Linked DNA regions of Anolis sagrei. The protein of the gene in region 1 binds, or shares a complex with, the protein of each later gene. Links are inferred from orthologs where the notes say so. Each region holds a gene or a part of one and is shown on either strand. Other genes may lie near its edges.

Evidence for each region.
Region 2: the proteins of DBF4 (region 1) and CDC7 are in contact, whole or in part, in a crystal structure (PDB 6YA8), measured with the Homo sapiens proteins. The link is inferred for Anolis sagrei from reciprocal best matches to the Homo sapiens genes DBF4 and CDC7. Residues at the interface, in NP_006707.1 of Homo sapiens: Thr210, Arg211, Thr212, Gly213, Arg214, Leu215, Lys217, Pro218, Phe219, Val220, Lys221, Val222, Glu223, Asp224, Met225, Ser226, Gln227, Leu228, Tyr229, Arg230, Pro231, Phe232, Tyr233, Leu234, Leu236, Met239, Pro240, Ile242, Asn243, Tyr244; in NP_001127891.1 of Homo sapiens: Asn56, Val57, Phe58, Ala77, Gln78, Leu79, Gln80, Ile87, Ile93, Pro94, Thr95, Ser96, His97, Pro98, Ile99, Arg100, Ile101, Ala102, Leu105, Gln106, Thr109, Lys121, Tyr122, Cys123, Phe124, Arg125, Asn127, Asp128, Val130, Leu143.

What each region holds. Positions count from the first base shown.
Region 1 is NC_090026.1:104,608,670-104,621,212, reverse strand, and holds the start of DBF4 (protein DBF4 homolog A), read left to right. Parts: upstream 1-6,683; 5' UTR 6,684-6,848; intron 6,849-7,051; 5' UTR 7,052-7,110; coding exon 7,111-7,156; intron 7,157-12,543. Other genes in the region: mitochondrial glutathione transporter SLC25A40, read right to left, coding at 390-496, 1,164-1,223, 2,688-2,784. UniProt on the Homo sapiens protein: Regulatory subunit for CDC7 which activates its kinase activity thereby playing a central role in DNA replication and cell proliferation. Required for progression of S phase.
Region 2 is NC_090024.1:150,719,702-150,731,653, forward strand, and holds the start of CDC7 (cell division cycle 7-related protein kinase), read right to left. Parts: upstream 5,230-11,952; 5' UTR 5,121-5,229; intron 3,045-5,120; 5' UTR 3,034-3,044; coding exon 2,949-3,033; intron 1-2,948. UniProt on the Homo sapiens protein: Kinase involved in initiation of DNA replication. Phosphorylates critical substrates that regulate the G1/S phase transition and initiation of DNA replication, such as MCM proteins and CLASPIN.

The DNA.
Region 1 (12,543 bases):
TGGGTTTAACTTCAATGTTCCTGACTATAACATTTCTCTATTTCTGTCTCTTCTCGTTCTTGGAACAATTTAGCGCAATTAAGTGGTTGGTGGAATTGTTGTGGAATTTTAGTTGGTCGGAAATGTACTATTGGCTAATTGTGCACTTGTTTCTTGCTCTTATTCCCTTGTGCATAAGTCCACTTTTATCATAAGAAGTTTTATGATTTGCTCCTTTGAAAAGAGGAAATATTTAAAAAATGTAAGGGGACTTAAATTATGATTCTCATTATTGTGAAATAAAAACCACTCTGAATTTACATAACAGCATTTTAAAATAAAAACTGGGCAATAGTTTGTTGAGTTTTAAGGGCCAATATTCTTTGGATTGGATATGCTTTTCTCCTTACCATCATGCCATTAAAACGGCCAGCTGTCCTTTGCCAAGTTTTGCCACTTCCGTTTTCATAGAGATAAACATGATCGGTCAAGCCATCAGAATCTAAAAATGACTTTCCTGTTTTAAAAAAAGGTGAAAAATAAACTGTGATTCTTTTAAAGATGAGTGGAAGAAACCTGGAATAAAGTGTAATTTCTTATTTATTTTTGTCACTTTAAGCTCTTTAAAACGTGTGTCTTTTCCTTCTAAATTAACAATATTACAAATGCAAAACTAGATAGGTAGAGGTTATCCCTGACATTAAGTCCAGTTGTGTCTGATTCTCGGGGTTGGTGCTCATTTCCATTTCTAAGTCGAAGAGCCGGCGTTGTCCGTAGACACCTCCAAGGTTATGTGGCTGGCATGTCTGCATGGAGCACCGTTACCTTCCAGCCGGAGCAGTACCTATTGATCTAATCACATTTGCATGTTTTCGAACTGCTAGGTTGGCAGAGGCTGGGGCTAACAGCAGAAGCTCACCCCACTCCCCGGATTTCAACCGGCAACCTTTCGGTCAGCAAGTTCAGCAGCTCAGTGGTTTAACCCACTGCACCATAGATAAATTGTTACTATTAATGGTTTTAAAAGCTATTAACTCAATATCACATTTCACTGCTCATAGACTCGAGTGCAGTAAAGCTCCCATCCTTCCCCTCATACTAACACTGACATATATTACCAAAACACATGGAAGAACAAGCATCTTCCTCCTTCCCATACCACAAATGTAGAGCTATAGATTTACCTTTGAGAGACGGATTCATCTGGACTTGCATCCGAACTTTGACAACATCTAGGGGTGTCACTAAGGCAAACAAACAAACCATCAAATGGAAAACATTCTAAACACTCTAAATGTGGTCAATGGTTTCAAGAGCAAAAGTTTTAAAAAACAACACACATAATAATGTGTTCATTTGTGCTCCAGAAGGTAAAATTAGAATCATATAGAATCACAGAGTTGGAAGAGACCTCGTGGGCCATCCAGTCCAACCTCCTACCAAAAAGCAGGAAAATGGTATTCAAAGCACCCCTGACAGATGGCCATCCAGCCTCTGTCTAAAAGCCTTCAAAAAAGGAGCCTCCACCACACTCCAGGGCAGAGAGTTCCACTGCTGAACAGCTCTCACAGTTAGGAAGTTATTCCTAATGTTCAGGTGGAATCTCCTTTCCTGTAGTTTGGAGCCAGGGCAGCAGAAAAGAAGCTTGCTCCCTCCTCCCTATGACTTCTCCTCTCATATTTTATACGTGGCCCTCATAATGTCTCCTTCCAGCCTTCTCTTCTGCAGGCTAAACATGCCCAGCTCTTTAAGCTGCTCCTCATAGGGCTTGTTCTCCAGACCCTTGATCATTTTAGTCACACTCCTCTGGACACATTCCAGCTTGTCAACATCTCCCTTAAATTGTGGTGCCCAGATAGAATGGGCTTTAAGTATAGGGGAATAAATGTTAGTGGAACCTGAGATGCCTCTTGATTGTACAAATATTTTGAGAATGGGACTTGGAAGAAAGACTATCCCTTGCTCAAGGTTGTTAAGCTTGCTGGGTATGTTCCATTCAGGATTTCCTATACTAAGTAGGGGATTAGAAGAGATGGCCTACAAAGTCCTTCTCTAATGCCGTGAGTCTCGATGTAATAGGCTTTGGATTTATTATGAAAGTACAATTATATTTGCTAGGAATCAGAATACAAATGGAGTAAGGCACAAATATAGTTTCCAACCTATTTGTTTCTAATCTTGAATCATGAGAGGTTTTTATTTTTCATTTGACTTAAAGAGGATTCACCATTATTAACAATGCACAAAGTGAAAATCCCCACAGGGGATGGATTAAAAGGCATTTTGCAAATCTCTGCAAACTACAGATTATTGCTCATCACACTTCCTGGTGTTTAAAAAATCAGGCTAATTCAATGTTTGTATTATTTGGTGTCCAGTTTGTATTTTCTTTCCTAATAAGGGACACTGTGGCTTCCAGTTGTTGTATCTTCCATTACTTGTCCCTTTTTGGCTGCTGTCTTAGCACTGGCTTCACGGGATATTTTCAGATTTCCGTGGCCATCTTACCCTTCCAGTGAGGAGTATCTCAATATCTATTTGTGACTACTGGGTTACAATCCTAAACACATTTGCTGGAGAGAAAGCTCTACTGAACCCAGTGGGACATGCCTATAATAGGATCATTATCTCATTTTTAGAATATGCCTGTTAAAAATAACACTGACATATTAACAGTGTGCTAAGTGACCTCAATTGTCTTTTCTTACCCAAAACTGAAGTAATAAGAGCACCACAACAAGAACAGACTGCTTGCTGAGACGTTGTAATGCTGTATAATCCATCTTCTTTCTCTTCAGAACCCATAATTTATTCCTTGAGAAGCATAACCTGATTAAAAAAAATCAATATATATATATGTGTGTGTGTGTTTGTGTAGACTCTATTAATTGGAATTCAAGCAAATGAAATTATCAAGCAACCAGCAAAAGTTTACTGGCTACCATTTCACAAAATTTGCATACTGCATTCACAAAGCTTTTTTATAGAACAGTGAAGCTGTGTTAAATTAGTTAGGTTTCTCTCTTTGCATTCAATTACGGTACTTCAATATTAACAAGTCAATACAGAGTTTTTGGTGTGATATAGTATGGGGTACAGTATTAATTAGGTTTATTTTAACAGTAACTCTCAGACAACCAGAAACTACATTTATTAGGCATCTGCCAATACTCCTTAAGTGCTGATTAACTTGGAATCTATGTATACATACACATAAGCCATTTGTAAGCCGCCCTGAATCCCCCCTCGGGAGTTGAGAAGGGTGGGATAGAAATACTGAAAATAAATAAATAAATATACACACATATGTGTCTGTACACTCCCCACCTAAATGGTTTATCACTCATTTAGGTGAATTTGAAAGGAAAAGTTCTCTCTGAAACATCTGAATATGAGTTACTTTCTCAACCTAATGATTATTCTCATTGTGTATAAAAACGGCCCAAGAAAAATCAAGCGTATCCCATAATATCAAGAGATAGAGAATACAGTCTGTCCTTTTATTTTATTGAGATTGGCCACTGCTCTCCTACTGATTTCCTGGCTGTAGTGAAAAGTTTGCCCTTGACATTAAGTCTAGTCGTGTCCAACTTTGGGGCCTGGAGCTCATCTCCATTTCTAAGCTGAAGAGCCAGTGTTGTCCGTAGATGCTTCCAAGCTCATGTGGCCTGCATGACTGCATGAAGTGCTGTTACCTTCCTGCCAGAGTGGTACCTATTGATCTACTCAAATTTGCATGTTTTGAACTGCTAGGTTGGCAGAAACTGGGCCTAATAGCTGAAGCTCACCCTGCTCTCCGGATTCGAACCTCTGACCTTTCGGTTAGCAAGTTCAGCAGTGCAGTGGTTTAACCTACTGTGCCGCCAGGGGACCTACACATAGATACATAGCGATATATATATATATATAGAGAGAGAGAGAGAGAGAGAGAGAGAGATGAAGTCCAAGTATAAACAATACATTCATTTATCTCTGATAGACACCATACACACCAGGCATTGTGGGTGTTGAAAGTCCAGAACACCTGGAGGGCCCAAGTTTGCCCAGGCCAGATATATATCTTGTGAGATACCTTGAAATGAGATCCAGGTCTAAATACTACATTAATGTATCTTTCATAGACACCACACACAGATACATTGCCATATAGATATTATCTATCTATCTATCTATCTATCTATCCATCCTTGGAGATGAAACTCAAGTGTAAACAATACATTCAGGTCTAAATATTACATAAATCTATCTTTCATAGACACCATACACACATATAGATACATTGCCATATATATGCTATACAAAACCTTGGAGATGAAACTCAAGTGTTAATTATACATTCAGGTCTAAATACTAGACCGGGATTGTGGCACAGCTGGCTGAGTGTCAGCTGCATTAAGATCACTCTGACCAAAAGGTCATGAGTTCGAAGCCAGCCCGGGTTGGAGTGGGTTTCCAACCAATTGTGTGTAGCCTGTTGTCGACCTTTGCAACTCGAAAGACAGTTGCATCTGTCAAGTAGGAAAATTAGGTACCACCTTAAAGTGTGGGGAGGCTAAATTAACTGATTTATGAGGCCATAAAGAAGACTCCAGCAAAGCATTCCAGCGGGGAAGCATGCAGGGAATGCGGAAGTGCTTCATCAGCGTCGCAGATGGACGATGAAAGCGACAGCTCCCCTGGCGGCCAGAAAAAAAGTTAAATAGCCTCTGTGTATGTCTGAGTCAATATAAACGTACCTTTCAAACTGCTAACTACCTAAAAATGCAAATACCAAAACATCACTCGAGCCAGATTTGATCAGCTCGAGACAATGGTTAGATACAGGAGATTTAACAGCATCCCTTATAATGAACGAAGTTGTATCTGCGGGACACCTGAAATTGAGGATATAGCACACATATTTTTTGATTGCAAATTGTATCAAAAGGTGAGAGACTTCCACCTTGGTCCATATATCAAACGGACAATGTATTGGGATTCTCACATCAGAACAACATATTTTATGTGTGGCCAAGACCCAGAAATAACATATAAAACAGCTCTGTACTTAGGCAAAACAATACGTCTGAGAACCACATATGTAGGGCTGATTGGGGTAAATTGTAGGGGTGATAATGAAATATGATGTATATACTCAGCTTGATCAGTTTTATCATGTCTTATCATATGTATTTACTGTATTATTATAAGTGTCTTATTTTAACTTTCTACGTGGAGTGTGATCAGGTCTTGTCAGGCCTTGTTGTTCTGTTTCTTATTGTGATATAGCCTAATGGCTAATCAATAAAATTACTACTGCTACTACTCTGTGTATGTCTGTATATGTTTGTATGTCAAAAATTGGCATTGAATGTTTGCCATATATGTGTACACTGTAATCCGCCCTGAGTCCCCTGCGGGGTGAGAAGGGCGGAATATAAAAGTTGTAAATAAATAAATAAATATTTTATAGACATCACACACACACACATTAGCATATCTATGCTACATATAACCTTGGAGATGAAACCCAAGTGTAAACAATACATTCATTATGTATCTCTGCCTATGAACCCACCAGGACTTTAAGATCCTCTGGGGAGGCCCTGCTCTCGATCCCGCCTGCATCACAGGCACGTTTGGCGGGGACGAGGGACAGGGCCTTCTCAGTGGTGGCCCCTCGGCTGTGGAACGCCCTTCCCATGGACATTAGATCAGCCCCCTCGTTAATGGTGTTTCGAAGAAAACTGAAAACCTGGCTATTTGAACAGGCGTTCGGAGAAGCAGTGCAATGAATATAGGAAAACGGAATTACGGATGACGAGTTGGATCACGATTCTAGTTACGAGATGTTAATGTGTTGTTTATTGATGTTAATCATTTAGTATACTACGGTGTTAATTGTTTTTAAATAGTGTATGTTGTTAGAGCCCCCGGTGACGCAGTGGGTTAAAGCACTGAGCTGCTGAGCTTGTTGATCGAAAGGTCGCAGGTTCGATTCCGGGGAGCGGCGTGAGCTTCCGCTGTCAGCCCTAGCTTCTGCCAACCTAGCAGTTCGAAAACATGCAAATGTAAGTAGATCAATAGGTACCGCTCCGGCGGGAAGGTAATGGCGCTCCATGCAGTCATGCCGGCCACATGACCTTGGAGGTGTCTACGGACAACGGCTTAGAAATGGAGATGAGCACCACACCCCAGAGTCAGACATGACTGGACTTAATGTCAGGGGACTACCTTTACCTTTACCTATGTTGTTAGCACTGAATTTTTGCTCTTGTTGTTAACCGCGTTGAGTCGCCTATGAGCTGAGAAACTGCGGTATACAAATAAAGTAAATAAATCAATAAAATTAATCTTTCATGGGCACCATACACACCAGGCATTGTGGGAGGGCCCAAGTTTGCCAAGGCCTGCTGTATATGCTCATATACAGGTAAACATGCCAACATCCCAAGTGTATCCCAAGTCCCAAACATTACTGGAGCATTTTGGATATGAGGGATTCCTCCACTTCAGGGGCGGCCAAGAGAAGGGTTACCTGGGCAACTGAGAGGGAGAGGAGCCGGGCGAGGAGGCCTCTGAGAGGCGAGGCTCCTCCTCTTCCTCGCCGCCCTCCTCCTCCTCCTCCTCCTGGGCCTTGAATTCAGCCCAACCAGAGCGCCAGGCCCCGCCTCGGAGGCTGCTGGTAGGCCCAGCCCGAGCGAGGCGGGAAAGGCGAGGCGCCGAATGGCCGAGCGGCGGAGCAGAATCCCCTCAGCGGCAGCGGCGGCGGCGCCATGAGGCTGAGGTGACGCCGCTTTCAAACGCCAACCGCCCCTCCGCCGCCGCCGGGAAGCGCGGGGCTGGAACGGGCGCCTCACACCAGGCGCTGCCCCCGGGGAGAAGGCAACGTAAGGCCCGGGGCGGGGCGGAGGCCTGAGGGGGGGGGGCGCAGCAGGGCTTGGAGGCGGCGGCGGCGGCAGAGAAGTTGCCCCGTTCTTTAAATGGACACCCCGCCTCCCCCCACTGAGTATTTCATTCTTCTTCAATCCTCTCCCCCATATTCAAGCCTTCTCAAGTGTGTTCATGAGAATCTCTTTCCTTTTCCTTTCAGGTCGCAACTAACCGTCGCAGGGAAGTGGGCCGAGAAGAAGATGTGACTTCCCAGGAAAAATGAAACCAAGTGGTTTGAAAAGCAGCAGCAAAGGACAGTTCCCCTGTAAGTGTGGTTGGGGCCTTCCTTCCTTCCTTCCTTCCTTCCTTTCTGCTATTCAATATCCCCTTCCACACAGCTGTATCAAACCACACATTACTATTATTATGTTACCGACACAAAGTAGTAGTAAAGTTTATTACGGTCGAAGACCAGATCACAACATGGGGACCCAGTCCCGTACATTCACATCAAACCCAAGGGGTTGTACACTTTAAACTTCAACAAATTTTAAAATCGAAACTAAAAACCAATACTGGTCCAACGGGCAGCAGCCAGGATGTTAACTGGGGCTCATTACAGAGAGAGGTTCAAGGAGTTCCACTGGCTGCCGTTTATTTTCTGAGCCCAATTTAAGGTGCAGGTGCTTACCTACAAAGCCCTAAACGGTTTGGGACCATCCTACCTGCGTGACCGTATCTCCGTTTACGAACCCACGCGCTCACTTCAGTCATCCGGAGAGGCCCTGCTCGTGATCCCGCCAGCGTCGTAGCCGTGTTTGGTGGGGACGCGAGACAGGGCCTTTTCTGTGGTGGCCCCCCGACTCTGGAACACACTCCCAAAAGATCTTAGATAGGCCCCTACATTGGCAGTCTTTAGAAAGAACTTGAAAACCTGGCTGTTCCGATGTGCCTTTCCAGAATAGGAACCTCCAATAACAAGTCCCAGAACTAAGATTGCTGCACACTGCACTTAACTTACCCTATAATCCTTACATATCACCTGTCACATCAGCACTTTTAATCCTGTACCCATTACTCTGGCCCGGCCCAGTTTTATAGTGTCTTGATGTATTGTTTATTGCTTGTTGTTTAATATTTGCTTTAATTGTTTTTAATTTGCTTTAGGTGTTGTATTGTTATGTTGTGTTTTGAGGCCTTGGCCTTTGTAAGCCGCATTGAGTCCTTCGGGAGATGCTAGCAGGGTACAAATAAAGTTAATAATAATAATAATAATAGTTATTAAAACCTAACTTAACCCACAAGTTCATCCAACGCAGTCTAAAGAGAGGTAGTGGGGATGGCACCAGGGAGTGGGGGAATATCCAACTCTATAATATCAGACTATATCTGATTTCTCATCTATATTCCAGAGGAGAAGCTTAGGTCTTTTAACCCTCAATCATCGTCCGCCGAATTTTAATTGCAGCCGTGCAGAACTTAGCGATGTTGTACGTCACAGCCGAGTTTGTGTCTGAGATCAGCAGATCTACATAGAATTGTCCAGAGCATCCTGGATATTTAATTGTACATGGTAAGATGAGATGAGATCGAATGTCTCTATAAAACAGGCACTGGAGAAGCACGTACTGACACAAAAGCACAGTATGTCACAGCAAACGAGATCTGTATGCTGGATTTCGTATCACAAAATCACAAGTCTAACACTTCCCAAGCGTCTAGGACTGTGTGATTTATTTTCGAATGATGTGCACAGATCCAAGTAAGGTGGCCTTTTGCAGCTGACAGATCGTGATTTTGTCAATGTTTATTGTTTCCAAATGCTGGCTCAGATCTTTTGGCACGGCACTCAGTGTTCCGATGACCACTGGGACCACCTGTACTGAATTATGCCAAAGCCTTTGCAGTTTGATTTTGAGGTCTTGATAGAGGTTTTCCTGTTGTTTTTCCTCAATGCGACGGTCATCTGGTATGGCGACATCAATAATCCAGACTTTTTTCTTTTCCACAATCATGATGTCTGGTGCATTGTGTTCCAAAACTTTGTCAGTCTGGATTTGAAAGTCCCACAGTATTTTTGCATGTTCATTTTCCATGACCTTTGCGGGTTTATGATCCCACCAATTCTTTATTGCTGGCAGGTGGTACTTGTGACATAAGTTCTGGTGAATCATCTGGGCCACAGAGTTGTGTCTTTGTTTATAGTCTGTGTGATTTTCTTGTAACAGCTGAGGTTTCATCAGCTTTTTGGGTAATCTGGTTTTTTTTTTCCAACCCTGGCCTTAATTGCATTGCTTCTGATGGCTTGCTCCTGGGCTGCAAGAATTGGGCCTTCCGTCTCCTTCTTCAGTGTTCCATTCATGAGCCATAACCAGGTCTTCTCCTTGACAACTTTTCCTTCAATCTTCTCAAGGAACTGCCCATCCAAGGCTTTATTGTGCCAGCTGTCAGCTCTGGTTTGGAGTGCAGTTATCTTGTACTGACTCTATGTCTGCTGTGCTTTGAGAAGTTTCCGATTATTGATTTCAATTAAAGCAGGTTCTTGGTTCTGTATCAAACCACACATCATCATTATTATTATTATTATTATTATTTCCAATATTTATATTCTGCCCTTTTCACCCCGCAGGGGACTCAGGGCAGATTACAATTCACATATACATGGCAAACATTCAATGTCATTTAGCCAGACTACATATATACACAGACATAGAGGCAATTTAACATTCCAGCTTTCTGGCTTCATGAGGGTATGTTCGATTCTAGCCACTTCACCATCCACTTGTGTTCCTTTGATGGAGTTCGTCCTCATTCTTACGCACACTGCTGGAAGATATTATGGCATTGCAAATTAGTTAAATTGGCCTCCTAAATTCCTCCTTGACAGCTACAACTGTCTTTCGGGCTGCATAGGTTGACAGCAAGCTAGACTATTAATGGTCAGGAGCTTACTCTGACCCAGGCTGGCTTTGAACTCATGACCTATCGGTCAGTGGTGATTTAATGCAGCTGGCTACTAACTAGCTGTGCCACTGGATTCTATGGCAGTATGGACTCCCAGTTCTTCCCTGCTGATTGAACTGGGGCCCCTTCCACACAGCTGAATAAAATCCCACATTATCTGCTTTGAACTGGGATATCTGAATCCACACTGCCATATATCCCAGTTCAAAACAGATAGTGTGGGATTTTATTCAGCTGTGTGGAAGGGGCCCCAGTTCAAAGCAGATATTGTGGGATTTTCTGCCTTGATATTCTGGGTTGTATGGCTGCGTGGAAGGGCCCACAGCTATTAAAGACATCTGATGGGAAACTTGGGTCCCTTCCACACAGCCATATAATGCAGAATATCAAGGCAGATTTTGTTGTTGTTGTTTATTTGTTCAGTTGACTAGCCCACGCCAGAGCTCCCTGTCGGCCTTGGCCACCGCAGTTCCTTCAAGGTCAAGCCAGTCACTTTAAGGGGTTTTTTCCCCGTGTCAGGAGCGACTTGAGAAAGTCACTTTTGGTTTGAGAGAATTGGCCATCTGCAAGGACGTTGCCCATGGGACGCCTGAATGTTTTGATGTTTTATCATCCTTGTGGGAGGTTTCTCTCATGTCCCCACATGGGGAGCTAGAGCTGACAGAGGAAGCTCAATTGAGCTCTCTTCAGATTCGAGCTTCCAACCTGTCAGTCATCAGTCCTGCCGGCATAAGGGTTTAATCCACTGCGCTACCAGGGGCTCCACTTCAAGGATAACATCCACCCATCTTGCCCTTGGTTGGCTCCTCTTCCCTTTTCTTTCCATTTTCCCCAGCATCATTATCTTCTCCAAGAGTTTCCTGTCTTATCATGATGTGGCCAAAGTACTTCATCTTTGCCTCTAATACCCTTCCCTCCAGTAACAAGTCATGCATTATTTCCTGGAGTATGGACTGCTTTGATCTTGCGGTCCAAGGTACTCTCAGAATTTTCCTCCAACACCACAGTTCAAAAACTGTCTATCTTCCTTTTCTCAGCCTTCCTTGTTGTCCAGCTCTCAAATCCATAGGTTACTATGGGGAATACCATTGCTTTAACTATGCAGACCTAATTCATTTTAAATACATTTAAAATTGCATTTAAAAGCTAAATACCCCCAATTCCACCCATAACCTCCCCAACAGAAAATGTAACTCAAACTTTCCAAAAAGTTTGAGGCCCTCGACCTTTCAGAAGAGAACTGTTCGTAACAAAACCTGTTCTTCCCTGCCCGCAAATACACAACTGATGAATTTGCCTCTAATTTTCATTATTTACTCATAAATGAGGCAATGAATTGGAGCTGGAGGCATACAGGGATTTCACAAAATCCCTGTAGTTTTGTTCCAGTATCTTTGAGGATACCAAAATCTGAAAACTATGGCATGGTGAACTGTCAACCTTTACATAAAATGGCAAAATTAAGATGTTTCTGAATTAGGTTGTATGTTAGGGTGATTTAGTTTCTCTACAGAAAGTTCGCTGGGATATTTATCCAGCTGAAATGATCCTTAAGCAGTTTTCCATGATTTTTGTCACGCCTGTTGACTTTCGCTTTCCATTTCTGATATGAGGTCTTTGTTTTGCTGAGAGCCTGCTTGGAGCTTTTGATTGTTGTACTGGATCTCCTGGTGATCAAGTGTTAGGCATTCATGAGGAAACAGCAACATCAGCAATGGAGGAAAAACATGTTGCTGATGTCAGTTTTGAATTACACTGGCAGGAATATGGTCCACGATGCTTCGTGGTTTACACAATCACCATGCATACCAAGGAGAATTTGTTTGAACCATGGACTGTGAATCCCCTTGAGTCCCCTTCAGGGTAGAGAAAGGTGGTATACAAATACGGCAAATAAAATACATACATACATACATAAACAAGGAGAATGTATTTCCAGTGCTAGTTCAATTGCCTTGTTGGATGGAGTGAATCCAGATGCACTGTGAGGGGTTTTCTCTGTGTATGTTTTCATATTGTTGTGAGAACCTCCGTTCAAACTTGCATTTATTTTTTGTTTTTGTTTTTTTTGGACATCACAAAAGGAAGAATATCCTTAGATAGGTTCAGAAGTTGACCAAGTTGATAAGGGCTCTTGGTCATAACATGGATCTGACTTCTGAATCCTTCAGTGTTGATTCACCTCTAATCTCAGCCCTACAGAACAACCACTGCTCAGCTTAGTGGTGATGGTACTCAGCTTAGATAGATCTGGGGTCTTGATTTAATATAAGGGAAAGCCAGCATGATGTAGTGATCTGCATTTTAGATTGCCACTCTGGATACCAGAGTTCGAATCTTGCTTGTCCACTGAATTCCATAAGTTGCGTTTAGACATGTCACTTTCACAACCTCACAGTAACACAAAAGATACCCTCTAAATAAATTTTGCCACTGAGTGATCGGTTCACTTAAGAGTTTCCCTAAATCGGAAATCGCTTGAAGCCGTGCAGCAGCAGCAACAAGAACAACAAACTTTTCTATTATTATTATTATTATTATTAGTAGTAGTAGTAGTAGTAGTAGCAGTAGTAGCAGCAGCATGTTTATATTATGTTTATTTATACCCTAATTTTTCTCTCCACAAGGAGAATCAAAGCAACTTACAGTAAAAGCATTTCAGTATGACTTAAAATCTACAAATATACAAACATTAAAACAGAATTAAACTTCAATAGTATTTTTAAAATCACAGTTAAAATCCATAGA
Region 2 (11,952 bases), on another chromosome or scaffold:
CACAGCATATAAATGTACCGTTGACTCTCCACATTTGTGGGTTTCACCTTTGTGGATTTGATTAATATGTTTTATTTAGGAATCTCTAGGTCCTAGAGGGTTTTTAATTCAGTTTTTCCTCTTTTGCAGGGGTTCTGTCTCTAACCTCCATGAAAATGGGGGATTATTGTAATATATTAACTTCAATGGAGCAATGAAAATGTTCTGGCAGTGTGTTTTTTCTTGTTTAGCTGCTTTTAGCTTGGTGTGAATGTGTTTAATGAATTTAAAAAATAAGATAAAATAAGAAAAGGGGCAGAGAAAAAAGTAGGCTTACAAAGCAATTGCAGATGCTGAATTCAGAAACTACACATTTTTTTTCAAGAATTTACTAGTTGCTGTTTTTCATAAACCTATCACTAGATGGCATAGGAAGGATGTTATATTGTATTTTCCTGTAAAAACTCAGACAACATAGGCAAGACGCCTTACTTAGATTGAACAATATTCCCTACTACATTTCTCAAATAGTGTTTTGGCTAAAGAGGTATAGTAACTGTGGGCCTTTAAAGACATAGCCATGTTAATCTGGATCAGAACAGAAAGGGATCTTGTAACATTTTTCTTAAGACTTTTTTTTTTGTCGTGTCAGGAGCGACCTGAGAAACTGCAAGTTGCTTCTGGTGTGAGAGAATTGGCTGTCTGCAAGGATGTTGCCCAGGGGACGCCCGGATGATTTGATGTTTTATCATCCTTGTGGGAGGCTTCTCTCATGTCCCCGCATGGGGAGCTGGAGCTGATAGAGGGAGCTCATCCGCCTCTCTCCGGATTTGAACCTGTGACCTGTCAGTCTTCAGGCCTGCCGGCACAGGGGTTTAACCCACTGCGCCACAGCAGTCTTGAGACTAAATGACAGGGAAAAGATTGTCATGTAAGCTTTTGTAGACAGGGACTACTTACTCAGATGCACAGAATGAAGTGCTTGTTGACAAATATTTGTGCCCATGAAGGGGTAGTGTGTGTCTGTGTCATTACACTCTAACTATTCATAGATAGAAATGTCTATCCATAGACACTTCACTTAGGCCCCTTCCACACAGCTGAATAAAATCCCATATTATCTGCTTTGAACTGGGATACACGGCAGTGTGGACTCAGATATTCCAGTTCAAAGCAGATATTCTGGGGTTTTCTACCTTGATATTCTGGGTTATATGGCTGTGTGGAAGGGCCTTAGAGCATCTGATGAAAAACAATCCTACAAGCTTCTTTCTCTGAATTAGTTTCTAAGATGTTACAACAGTCCTTGTGCTGTTCCACTATCAAGCATGAAGTGTTTCAATGATATCAGGTCCATCCAAACCTGAAGGCAACTGGCCAAAGGAGCACACCAAAGTTTTGCTGGAAAACACTGTGATGACCAAAGCCTTATGTAGGGTAAGAGGCTTTCAAAAATGTGAGAGGTACACTGGACCCTTCACTCCAGAGAGTGGCCTCCATAATAAAAGATGTATTTCCTGCTACTCCTGAGCAAGCTGGACAGAAGTTGAAGTAATAATTAGAGTTGGGCAAGGAGGAGAAATGGTACACCAAAAAGAAAAGGAGAACATTAGGAGATAGCAGCGCATGAGCCAAAATTGTGGCACGTATGTACCAATGACTAGAGAGCACTTTATGCTCTCACAGTGTGAGACCAAGCAGGTGGGGCTAGACCTCTGCTTTGCTAACAGACCCAAATCTTATTTCATGGCAAACATTTTCAAAACTTTGAATAATTTCATTTTTATAATATGATGCCTGGGAATGGGGGACGCTTGACTCAACAGCAGTATGTGTGAAAAAGATCTTGGAGTCCTCATGGACAACAAGTTAAACATTAGCTAACAATGTCACACGGCAGTTAAAAAAAACAATGGGATTTTGGCCTGCATCAACAGGAGTCTAGTGTCTAGATCCAGGGAAGTCATTCTATCCCTCTCTTCTGCCTTGGTCAGACCACACCTGGAATCACACTATGTACAATTCTGAGCACTACAATTTAAGGGAGATGTTGACAAGCTGGAATGTGTCCAGAGGAGGGCGACTAAAATGATCAAGGGTCTGGAGAACAAGCCCTGTGAGAAGCGGCTTAAAGAGCTGGGCATATTTAGCCTACAAAAGAGAAGCCTGAGAGGAGACAATGATGGCCATGTACAAATATGTGAGAGGAAGTCATAAGTTGGAGGGAGCAGGCTGTTTTCTGCTGCCCTGGAGACTAGGGCGTGGAGCAATGACTTCAAATGACACGAAAGGAGATTCCACCTGAACATTAGGAAGAACTTCCTAACTGTTCACCAGTAGCACTCTCTGCCAAAGACGGTGGTGGAGGCTCCTTTTTGGGGGCTTTTAAACAGAGGCTGGATGGCCATCTGTCAGGGGTGTTTTGAATGTGACTTTCTTGGCAGGGGGTTGGACTGGATGGCCCACGAGGTCTCTTCCAAATCTATGTCAGCTGTCTGACATCATAGATCATACACTGTGGGCCTTCCATTGCTCTTCTCCTGCGATCCACTATTATCTGCCTTCCAGATCAGACATACAAGGTGTGCAGGGAGAGGAGAAAATTATCATTTCCAGTAGCAGACAACAAACATTTGTTGCAACTCATTATTTTTTTAAGCTCCAAGGCATTCCCATCAACCCAGAATACAATTAAGAATTTTTAAAAAGCAAATATTTTGATAAACCAAAGTAAGGATTAACTTGTAAATTTGAATCAACCAAGTATTCCAAATGTCCCGCTTTGCTACAAGTTCTTCTATACTAACGCATAAATGAAATCATCAATAAAAAGTACAGTTTGTTTTTAAAGTATCTTATGCCAAAATATGAGTATGGAAGGGTCCCAAGAAAACAGGTGGAGGCCTTATAACAGGAAAGGAAGAATTTACAAGATTTTGGAGGGAGGAAAGATGTGTTAAAGTGTGTACCTGATAGCTTCTTGTTCTGGCTGTATTTCTTACTTGGGTCTTCACTGTGCATGGGAGGATGTTCAATCTGATGAGCTGCCTCCATTGTAATGCTACCTGAAAGCAGCCACAGAAGTTCAGAATCAGGGTCAAATTCTCTTCTGGATTTACATGCAAGTTTTCAAGTCTAAACACACTGAAAGAAATTCGCTCCCTTCTCTCAGCACACTGTATAAAGGTTAGTTAGACAAGGCAGCAAAGTGGTCCATAGACGCGTGCTGATCCTCCAGCCCCTGGAGAGTTTCCAAGCAAGAAAAGACAAGAAAAGGAATCCCAGGTTGCAGGGGAGCGTTTGCACAATTAAAACTTGTGCGCCAGCTGCGCCTGTACCTTGGGAAGTCAGACTTGGCCACGGTGGTCCATGCTCTTGTTACGTCTAGAATAGACTACTGCAACACACTCTATGTGGGGTTGCCTTTGAAGACTGCTCGGAAGCTTCAAATAGTTCAACAAGAGGCAGCCAGGTTAATAACTGGGGCGGCATACAGGGAGCATACAACTCCCATGTTACGCCAACTTCACTGGCTGCCAGTTTGCTACCGGGCACAATTCAAAGTGCTGGCTTTGGCCTATAAAGCCCTAAACGGCCCTGGCCCAAATTACCTGTCCGAACGGATCTCCCCCTATGAACCATCACGGAGATTAAGATCCTCCGGGGAGGCCCTGCTTTTCGTCCCACCATTGTCACAGGCGCGATTGGTGGGGGCGAGAGACAGGGCCTTCTTGGTGATTGCTCCCCGGCTATGGAACTCCCTTCCTGGTGAGATCAGGTCGGCCCCCTCCCTCCTGTCCTTTAGAAGGATGGTAAAAACTTGGCTGTGGGACCAAGCTTTCGGGACAGGGCAATGAAGCGGCAATGGGAAAGATGACAGGGCCAATTGGATTTGATGCGGATAGCTAGGACGGTTTTAAATGGTGTTATTTTAAATAGTGTGTTTTAATATTTCGATAAATGTTTTTTAATGTTTATGTATTGTATCCAGGCCCTGAAAATTTGCCGTGTATATGCTGTGCTCTGCTCTGAGTCTCCTTCGGGGTGAGAAGGGCGGAATATAAATGTTTTAAATAAATAAATAAATAACTGTGGTCAATAGACACACAAATATGGTGTGAGGCTCTGTCGCTCTTGGGAGGGGGACTGGGCTTCAATAGAATGCAAGGCACAACAGGCACTGGCAAACTCTGGCTCTCCAGATGTTTTGGACTCCAACTCCCACAATTCCTAACAGCCTCAGGCCCCTTCCTTTCCTCCCATAAGCGGCTGAGGGGGAAAAGGAAAAGGTCTGAAGCTGTTAGGAATTGTGGGAGGTGGAGTCCAAAATACCTGGAAGGCCGAAGTTTGCCCATGCCTGATCTATAATGTAGAATTAAATTGAACTCCCATGTCTCAATGCTACCCAGTTCTGGGATTTGTAGTTTGGTGATGAAGCACTAGCACTCTTTGGCAGAGAAGATGTAGGTCTTTGTAAACTACAACTCCCTGATATATAATGTAGAATTAATAGTTTGGCACCACTTGAACACCCATATCTCAATGCTACCCAATTCTGGGATTTGTAGTTTGGTGATGAAGCACTAGCACTCTTTGGCAGAGAAGATTAGTCTTTGTAAACGACAACTCCCACAATTCCTTAGCACTGAGTCATAGTGGCGTCAGTAATGTCAAAATGGCTTAACTCTTCCCAAACGGGGCCTGGTGCCTTTAAGGCTTTGATTCCTAGAGCTATGAAGGACTGAGCCTTAAAACAAAGTGGGCCAAAAGTCAAAAAGGCCTTCGATGTTGTAACAACTTTCTCAAAAGTTGCTATATATACTCTGTATCGGGCATGTGCAAACTTCAGCCCTCCAGGTGTTTTGGACTTCAACTCTCACAATTCTTAACAGCCTACCGGCTGTTAGGAATTGTGGGAGTTGAAGTCCAAAACACCTGGAGGGCTGAAGTTTGCCCATGGCTGCTCGTTATGGTGCTAAATAGTATGGAACACTGAAAACAGAGGCCTCTGCTCAAGCGAGGAAGGGGAGGAGAGGCCCAGCAAAGTGCTTCTCGGGTCTCCACACCCCGCCACTCCGAGGGAGAGTTGTCCTGTCTTCTTCCCCCATCGTTCCTCTTCTTTGCTCGGCTTTTTTACTCACTTGATCGCCCGCTTCCTCACTCGGTGGCTTCCCTTTCTTTCAAACAACGGCGCCTCTCCGGCTGACTCTCCGCCTCCTTTGGCGCCAAAAAACCGCGCTGTCCGTCGCAACGGCGCCCCCTGTCGGCCGCGGAGGGAGGAGTCCGCCTTGTCAGCCGGCCAAAGACAAGCAAGGCCTCTTTCTCTCTCAGCCTCCTCCTCCTCCCTCCCACGCTCCAAATAAGGCCCTTCTACAAGGAAGTTTGTGAAGGAACTGCTTTCTGGGCTATAGAGACTTCACCCCAATGAGCATGTCAAGTCTTTAGAAGTGTAGATTACCATACAGCTCCGTTTTGAAACTAAAGGGATGATTTTTCCCATCTCCATCCCATTGCACAGTAGCAAATTATCTGTTTCTTTCAGGAGTTCTCAGTCTATTTGCCGTTCAACCCACTGTCCCTCCCCTGTTTTCTTTGTGAGAAACAACAACAAAACTTGCCATACATCAAGGGAACCACTGACCGCATAGGGAAACTGATGAGGAAACACAACATACAAACCACTTACAGACCCACCAAGAAAATCCAACAAATGCTACGTTCAGCAAAGGACAAGAGGGATCCTCTTACCTCTGCAGGAGTCTACCGTGTACCATGCAGCTGTGGACAAGTCTACATAGGGACCACCAAACGCAGCATTGCCCAAACACGAATCAAGGAACATGAAAGACACTGCAGACTACTTCAGCCAGAGAAGTCAGCCATAGCAGAGCACCTGATGAACCAACCTGGACACAGCATATTATTTGAGAACACAGAAATGCTGGACCACTCCAACAACCATCATGTCAGACTACACAGAGAAGCCATTGAAATCCACAAGCATGTGGACAATTTCAACAGAAAGGAGGAAACCATGAAGATGAATAAAATCTGGCTACCAGTATTACAAAACTCAAAAATTACAACAGCAAAACAACAGAGGGGAAACAAACAGGCACATAAAATCACTCTCAACAAGAGATTCCCCCCAGGCGCTTCCAGGCCATTGAATGCAAATCAAGGTGATCAGCTGAAACATTCACAGCTTGCCCCAGCAGACAGGGGTCCTTTGTCTCACCCTGGTCATTCCACAGATATATAAACCCATTTTCCTACTTCCAACAGACCTCACTACCTCTGAGGATGTTGCCATAGATGCAGGCGAAACGTCAGGAGAAAAATTGCCTCCAGAACATGGCCATATAGCCCGGAAAAACCTACAACAACCCAACAAAACTTTATTTATATACCGCTCTATCTCCCCAAGGGGACTCAGAGCGGTTTCCAAGTAACATAATCAATACATACAAAGAAAACAGTATAAACATAAAATTATGCCAAGACAATATGAGCCTTAAAAAACCACAATAGCACATATATTTAAAATAATTCTGCCTGTTCAAGGCAGTTTAAAAAGCCAGGCCAGGCTAGTGCGATTTTAGTGGGCCGAGGAAATTAGGTAGAGTCTATGGCTGTACATTTCCAGGGCCTAATAGAAGAAAGTGACCTGGGTAATTGGTAGAAAAAGATATGGCCACTTTCAACAGTGTCTGGGGCAGAGCTAGAACTAGTCGTTCTCAAAGGTTTGTTTAAACCACCAGGTCTTCAGGCTCTTACAAAAGGAGGGGGCAACGGGGCCTGTCTTATTTCTCCAGGAAGAGGGTTCCAGAGGCAGGGGGCCACCACTGAGAAGGCCCTCTCTCTCATCCCCACCAACCATGCTTGTGACAGTGGTGGGAGCGAATCGAGGGCCTCCCTGGAAGATCTTAAAGTTTGCATTGGTTCTAAGGCCCGTCGCAAACTCTGTTCCTGGGGAGAAAACCTTGCTAGCATGTCCCTGACGTCACGAGACTCCGCCTCTCTCCCCACCCCTTTCTCCGCCCCTTTCTCTTTGCCAGCGTGGTTTTTCCTTTGCTAGGGCAGCATTGCCCGCATTTTCTCTCAGTTGGCAGAATTCAACTGAGAGAAAATGCGGGCAATGCTGCCCTAGCAAAGGAAAAACCACGCTGGCAAAGAGAAAGGGGCGGAGAAAGGGGCGGGGAGAGAGGCTCAGGCTCATGACGTCAGGGACTTGCTAGCAAGGTTTTCTCCCGCAGGAACCTAGTTTGCGACGGCTCATAGAGGGAGATGCGATCACGAAGATAGGTGGGGCCCGAATTGTTTAGGGCTTTATAGGTCATAACCTGCACCTTGAATTTGGCTCGGCAACTTATTGGCAGTCAGTGAAGCTGTTTTAAAAGGGGCGTAGTATGCTCCCTATAGTTTGCTCCAGTAAGGAGCCTGGCTGCCACCCGTTGTACCAGTTAGAGTTTCCGGGCCATCTTCAAGGGCAGCCCCACATAGAGCGCATTGCAATAGTCCAATCTGAAACACCTCTAGAACATGGCCACACACCCCAAAAAATCTACCACAACCCAAGAAACATCTTTCCTGGACTATTATTTTTGTTCCTGGGTTATCAATGTCATTTCCTAATTGGTTCTATCATAAACACATGGGAAAAGTTTGTTAAACTGCAAAAACTTTTATTTTGCAGGAGGGACATCTTGCTAGAGCGGTGTTTCTCAACCTGGGGGTTGGGACCCCAGGGGTGGGGGTCGTGAGAGGGTGTCAAAGGGGTTGTCAAAGACCATCAGAAAATGCAGTATATTCTGTTGGTGATGGGTGTTCTGTGTTGGAAGTTTGGCCCAATTCTATCGTTGGTGGGATTTAGAATGCTCTTCGATTGTAGGCCTTGACATTTGGGAGTTGTAGTTGCTGGAATTTATAGTTCACCTACAATAAAAGAGCACTTTGAACCCAGTCCACAATGGATCTGCACCAAACTTGGCACACTACCTACATGGCCAACATTGAATACTGGTGGGGTTGGGGTTTGGGGGCTGTTTCTGAATTCTGGGAGTTGTCGGTCACCAATATCAAAAACGAATAGAAGGGCAGGTGGAGAGATCTTTAGCCTTCTCTGCCAAAAGGGTTTCTGAGACCATCAGAAATATGTATTTTCTAATGGTCTTTGGTGACCCCTCTGAAACCCCACTCATGACCCCCCCCCCCAAGGGGTCCTGACCCCCAGGTTGAGAAACGTTGTAGAGTTTCCACCCATTTAACATAGGCCCCTTCCACACAGCTGAATAAAATCCCACATCATCTGTTTTTGTGCAGGTACAACTGTACCAGGAGCTCCAATTCTGTTTGCTTTTGCATTAAATGTTTGTTTGCAATCCCAGGCTTGGGATTTTGCAGCAGGGTGCCTTCCTGTTATAGTTTGCAATCATAGGGCAAGCCACCTGTCAATTATCGTTAGGTTCCCTGGTCCCACCCCTTTTTGAGTTTTGGAGGGAATAGGAGCCTTTTTGAGTCAGTCCACACAGAGCAGCTTTCCATGCAGGACATAACTCCAAGAGCTCCTGTAGAAAGCTTCGTCTTCTACGGCTTGGCCGGGGAGATATATAGCCTACAGCTTGGCCGGGGAGAAAAGGCCCCACAGCTTGGCTGAGGATTTTACAGCCTTACAGCTCCTTTGCGGAGGGACTTCAGCCAGCCATCACAGCAACCTGAACTCCTTCTTTTCCCCTGGAAGTCTACAAAGCTCTGCTTGGTAAGGGTCGCTCACGGAAGCCAGACGCAGTTGGTACCGGGTGCAGGGGCTACACGCCAACAGAGGCAAGTACAAACTGCCCAGATTAGAAGTTAAGGATTTCCCCATTAGTTAATTACAGTTAAGAAGATAGTGCCTGTTCCCAGTGAACAAGATTGCAAGAGCCAATAGACTGTTAAGAAAGCTTTAAAGTACCTGTTTGTTTCCATCAATAAAGAACTTTGTTGGATTTACTTTAAGCAATCTAAAGACTCTGTTTGGGGGGATCTAAGGGCCTTTGATCTGAGGCAGCCCCAGCATCCCGTTGGGCACACAGAATGTATGTCCTGTCTACAATCTAATGCACAGGCCCACCGTGCGACAACACAGTTTTGAACTGGAATATATGGCAGTGTGGACTCAGATAACTCAGTTCAAAGCAGACCTTGTTGGATTTTATGGCTTGATATTCTGGGTTATGTGGCTGTGTGGAAGGGCCCAGAGTTTGGGTGCACAAAAACAAAGTTTCTGGAGAGCAACAACTACTTTCAAAGTAAGGACTACACAATTAAATAAGTAACACAGAGTAGGAACAACTTTTCTTTATTATTATTTTATTGTTGTTGTTATTATTATTATTATTCAGAGGCAGGATGGCCATCTGTCTGGGGTGCTTTAGCTACATCGCAGAAATAAGGGGGTTGGACTAGATGGCCCTTGGAGTCAACCAAAGGAGGGGGGAAGGAGGTGGTGTCTGGGGGCACTCCCTTCCTTCAGTGTTGGAAGAAGGAAGAAGGGAAAGAAGAAGAGGTCACACATGGCATACACAAGGCAGAAAAGGAAGGAAGGAAGGAAGGAAGAAGGAAGGCAAGCAGGCACCCAGAAAGTGCACCAGACAGAAAGGAACACAACATACTGCTGATCTTCCCTCCTCCATGAGCAAAAGGTAACGGTGGAGATTTTCCTCAAAGGGGAATATTGGAAGGGGCCTCATATTAACCAGTTCAAATTTGATAATCTGGGATCATATCCTGGGATACAGGATAGTGTAGATTCAGAAATAGGTCCCTTTTACACTGCCATATAAAATCCAGATTATCTGCTTTTAACTGGATTATAAGGCAGTGCAAACTCTTATTATCCAGTTCAAAGCAGATAATGTGGATAATGCTTTGATAATCTGGATTACTGTGCATGGCAGTGTAGAAGGGACCTGATTCAACAAAGTAAATTATGTGTCACTTTGCATTTACCATAGGTTTTGAGGCATGGTGATCAAAGGACAATTAGATTATACAATAATATGTTGTATTTAATATGCTGTATTTAATTATTCAGAATATTCATAATGCGTATCTTTTCTTTGTTGCAAATGTCTACTAGGTTACTTTGCATGACGTTTTATGAAAGAAAAGGGGATATATGGTAAATTATATGAAGTCAGTATTTGAATCTATTCCACTTTTTAGAATTTCTCTGCTCAATGCGGCTTAGTAAATAAAAGCGAAAATGTAATAATATTCCACGTTAGTCAAACAATAAATAGCAAACAACAACATTGAGGCCCCTTCCACGCAGCTGAATAAAATGTTATATGGCAGTGTGGACTCAGACAACCCAGTTCAAAGCAGATATTGTGGGACTTTCTGTCTTGATATTCAGGGTTATATGGCTGTGTGGAAAGGCCCTAAGTAACCTTAGATTAACTGGAACAGATAAAACCATTTAAAACACCCCAAAGTAGACTGGAATAAAAACATATAATTCATTCAGTGTTCCCTTAAATAGCCAAATGTTGCTTATAGCTACATACCCTTATGTTCAGTCATTCAGGTCATGACTTGAATAAAGTGTTCTTCTGAATTTCTAAAAATATGATATTGAAGACATTAAATCAGGTATAAAGAATTGTTACAATAGCTATGTGAATAATTGCTATGTGACAGCCTCCTGTTCCTTGCGCTCCTTGTCAACCCAACAATTTAAATAATAAGAATAATGGTGGGAAGATTCAGGGATATGCACACATGCAAATTCGGACCCCGATCTGATAAGGCTAAAAAAGGTTGAAGTGTTAGGCCAAAACTAATACACTGAATTTCAAAAGTGATAAATGTGAGGTATACATCTAAGCATGAAAAATGAAATCCACAAATATAGAATGGTTGGCGCCTGACTTGAAAGCAGTACATGTGAGAAGGAGATGGGGGTCTTAGTAGACCACAAGCTAAACTTGAACCTGTAAGTGTGATGCCGCAGCCAAAAAAAGCCAATGTAGTTCTAGGCTGCATCAAAAGCAAAAAAGATCAAAGGAAGTCGTACTATAGTGCAACTCTATTCTGGTTTAATCAGACCTCACTTGGAATACTATGTAGAGTTTTGGGCAGCACAGTTCAAGAAGGATATTGACTGGCTGGAATGTATCCAGAGAAGAACATCCAAGATGATTAAAAGTGCTATTCACAACTAAGGGCCCTTCCCCACAGCCCTATATCCCAAAATATCAAGGCAGAAAATCCCACAATATTTGCTTTGAACTGGGTTCTCTGAGTCCACACTCAGATAATGTGGGATTTTCAGCCTTGATATTCTGGGATATAGGGCTGTGTGGAAGGACCTTTAGGGAACAGGATTTGTTTAGCTTAGAAAGCAGAAGACTTAAAGGCGACATTATAACAATGTTTACATATCTGAAAAGATAGCATGTAGTATTTGGAGTGAATGTGTTTTCTCCTGCTTCAAAAACTAGAACACTGACCAATGGATTCAAATGAAAATAAAAGAGATACTACCTAAAGAACTTCTTCAGTGGAATAGACTGCCTTGGTGTGGAAAGATCTTCTTTGAAGGCCTTTAAATAGAAGTTGGATAAGCAACTTTCAGAGGAGCGGTAGCTGTGTATTCCTGCAGGGCATTGGACTAGATCAATGGCTCTGAACCTGTGAGTCCCAGGTGTTTTTGGTTTACAATCCCCAGAAATCCCAGCCAGTTTACCATCTTTGAGGATTTCTGGGAGTTGAAGGCCAAAACATCTGGGGACCCACAGATTGAGAACCACTGGACTAGATGGTCTTACTGGTCCCTTCTAGCTCTAAGATTCTGTAATTGTATGTGTCAAGCACAATCTCGGACTACATGCATAATCTCGGACTACAGCCCCATATGATACGCTGAGTAGCATATCATATGGGGCTGGAGTCCGGGATTGTGCATGTATGCTCCTTTGAGACTCCTGT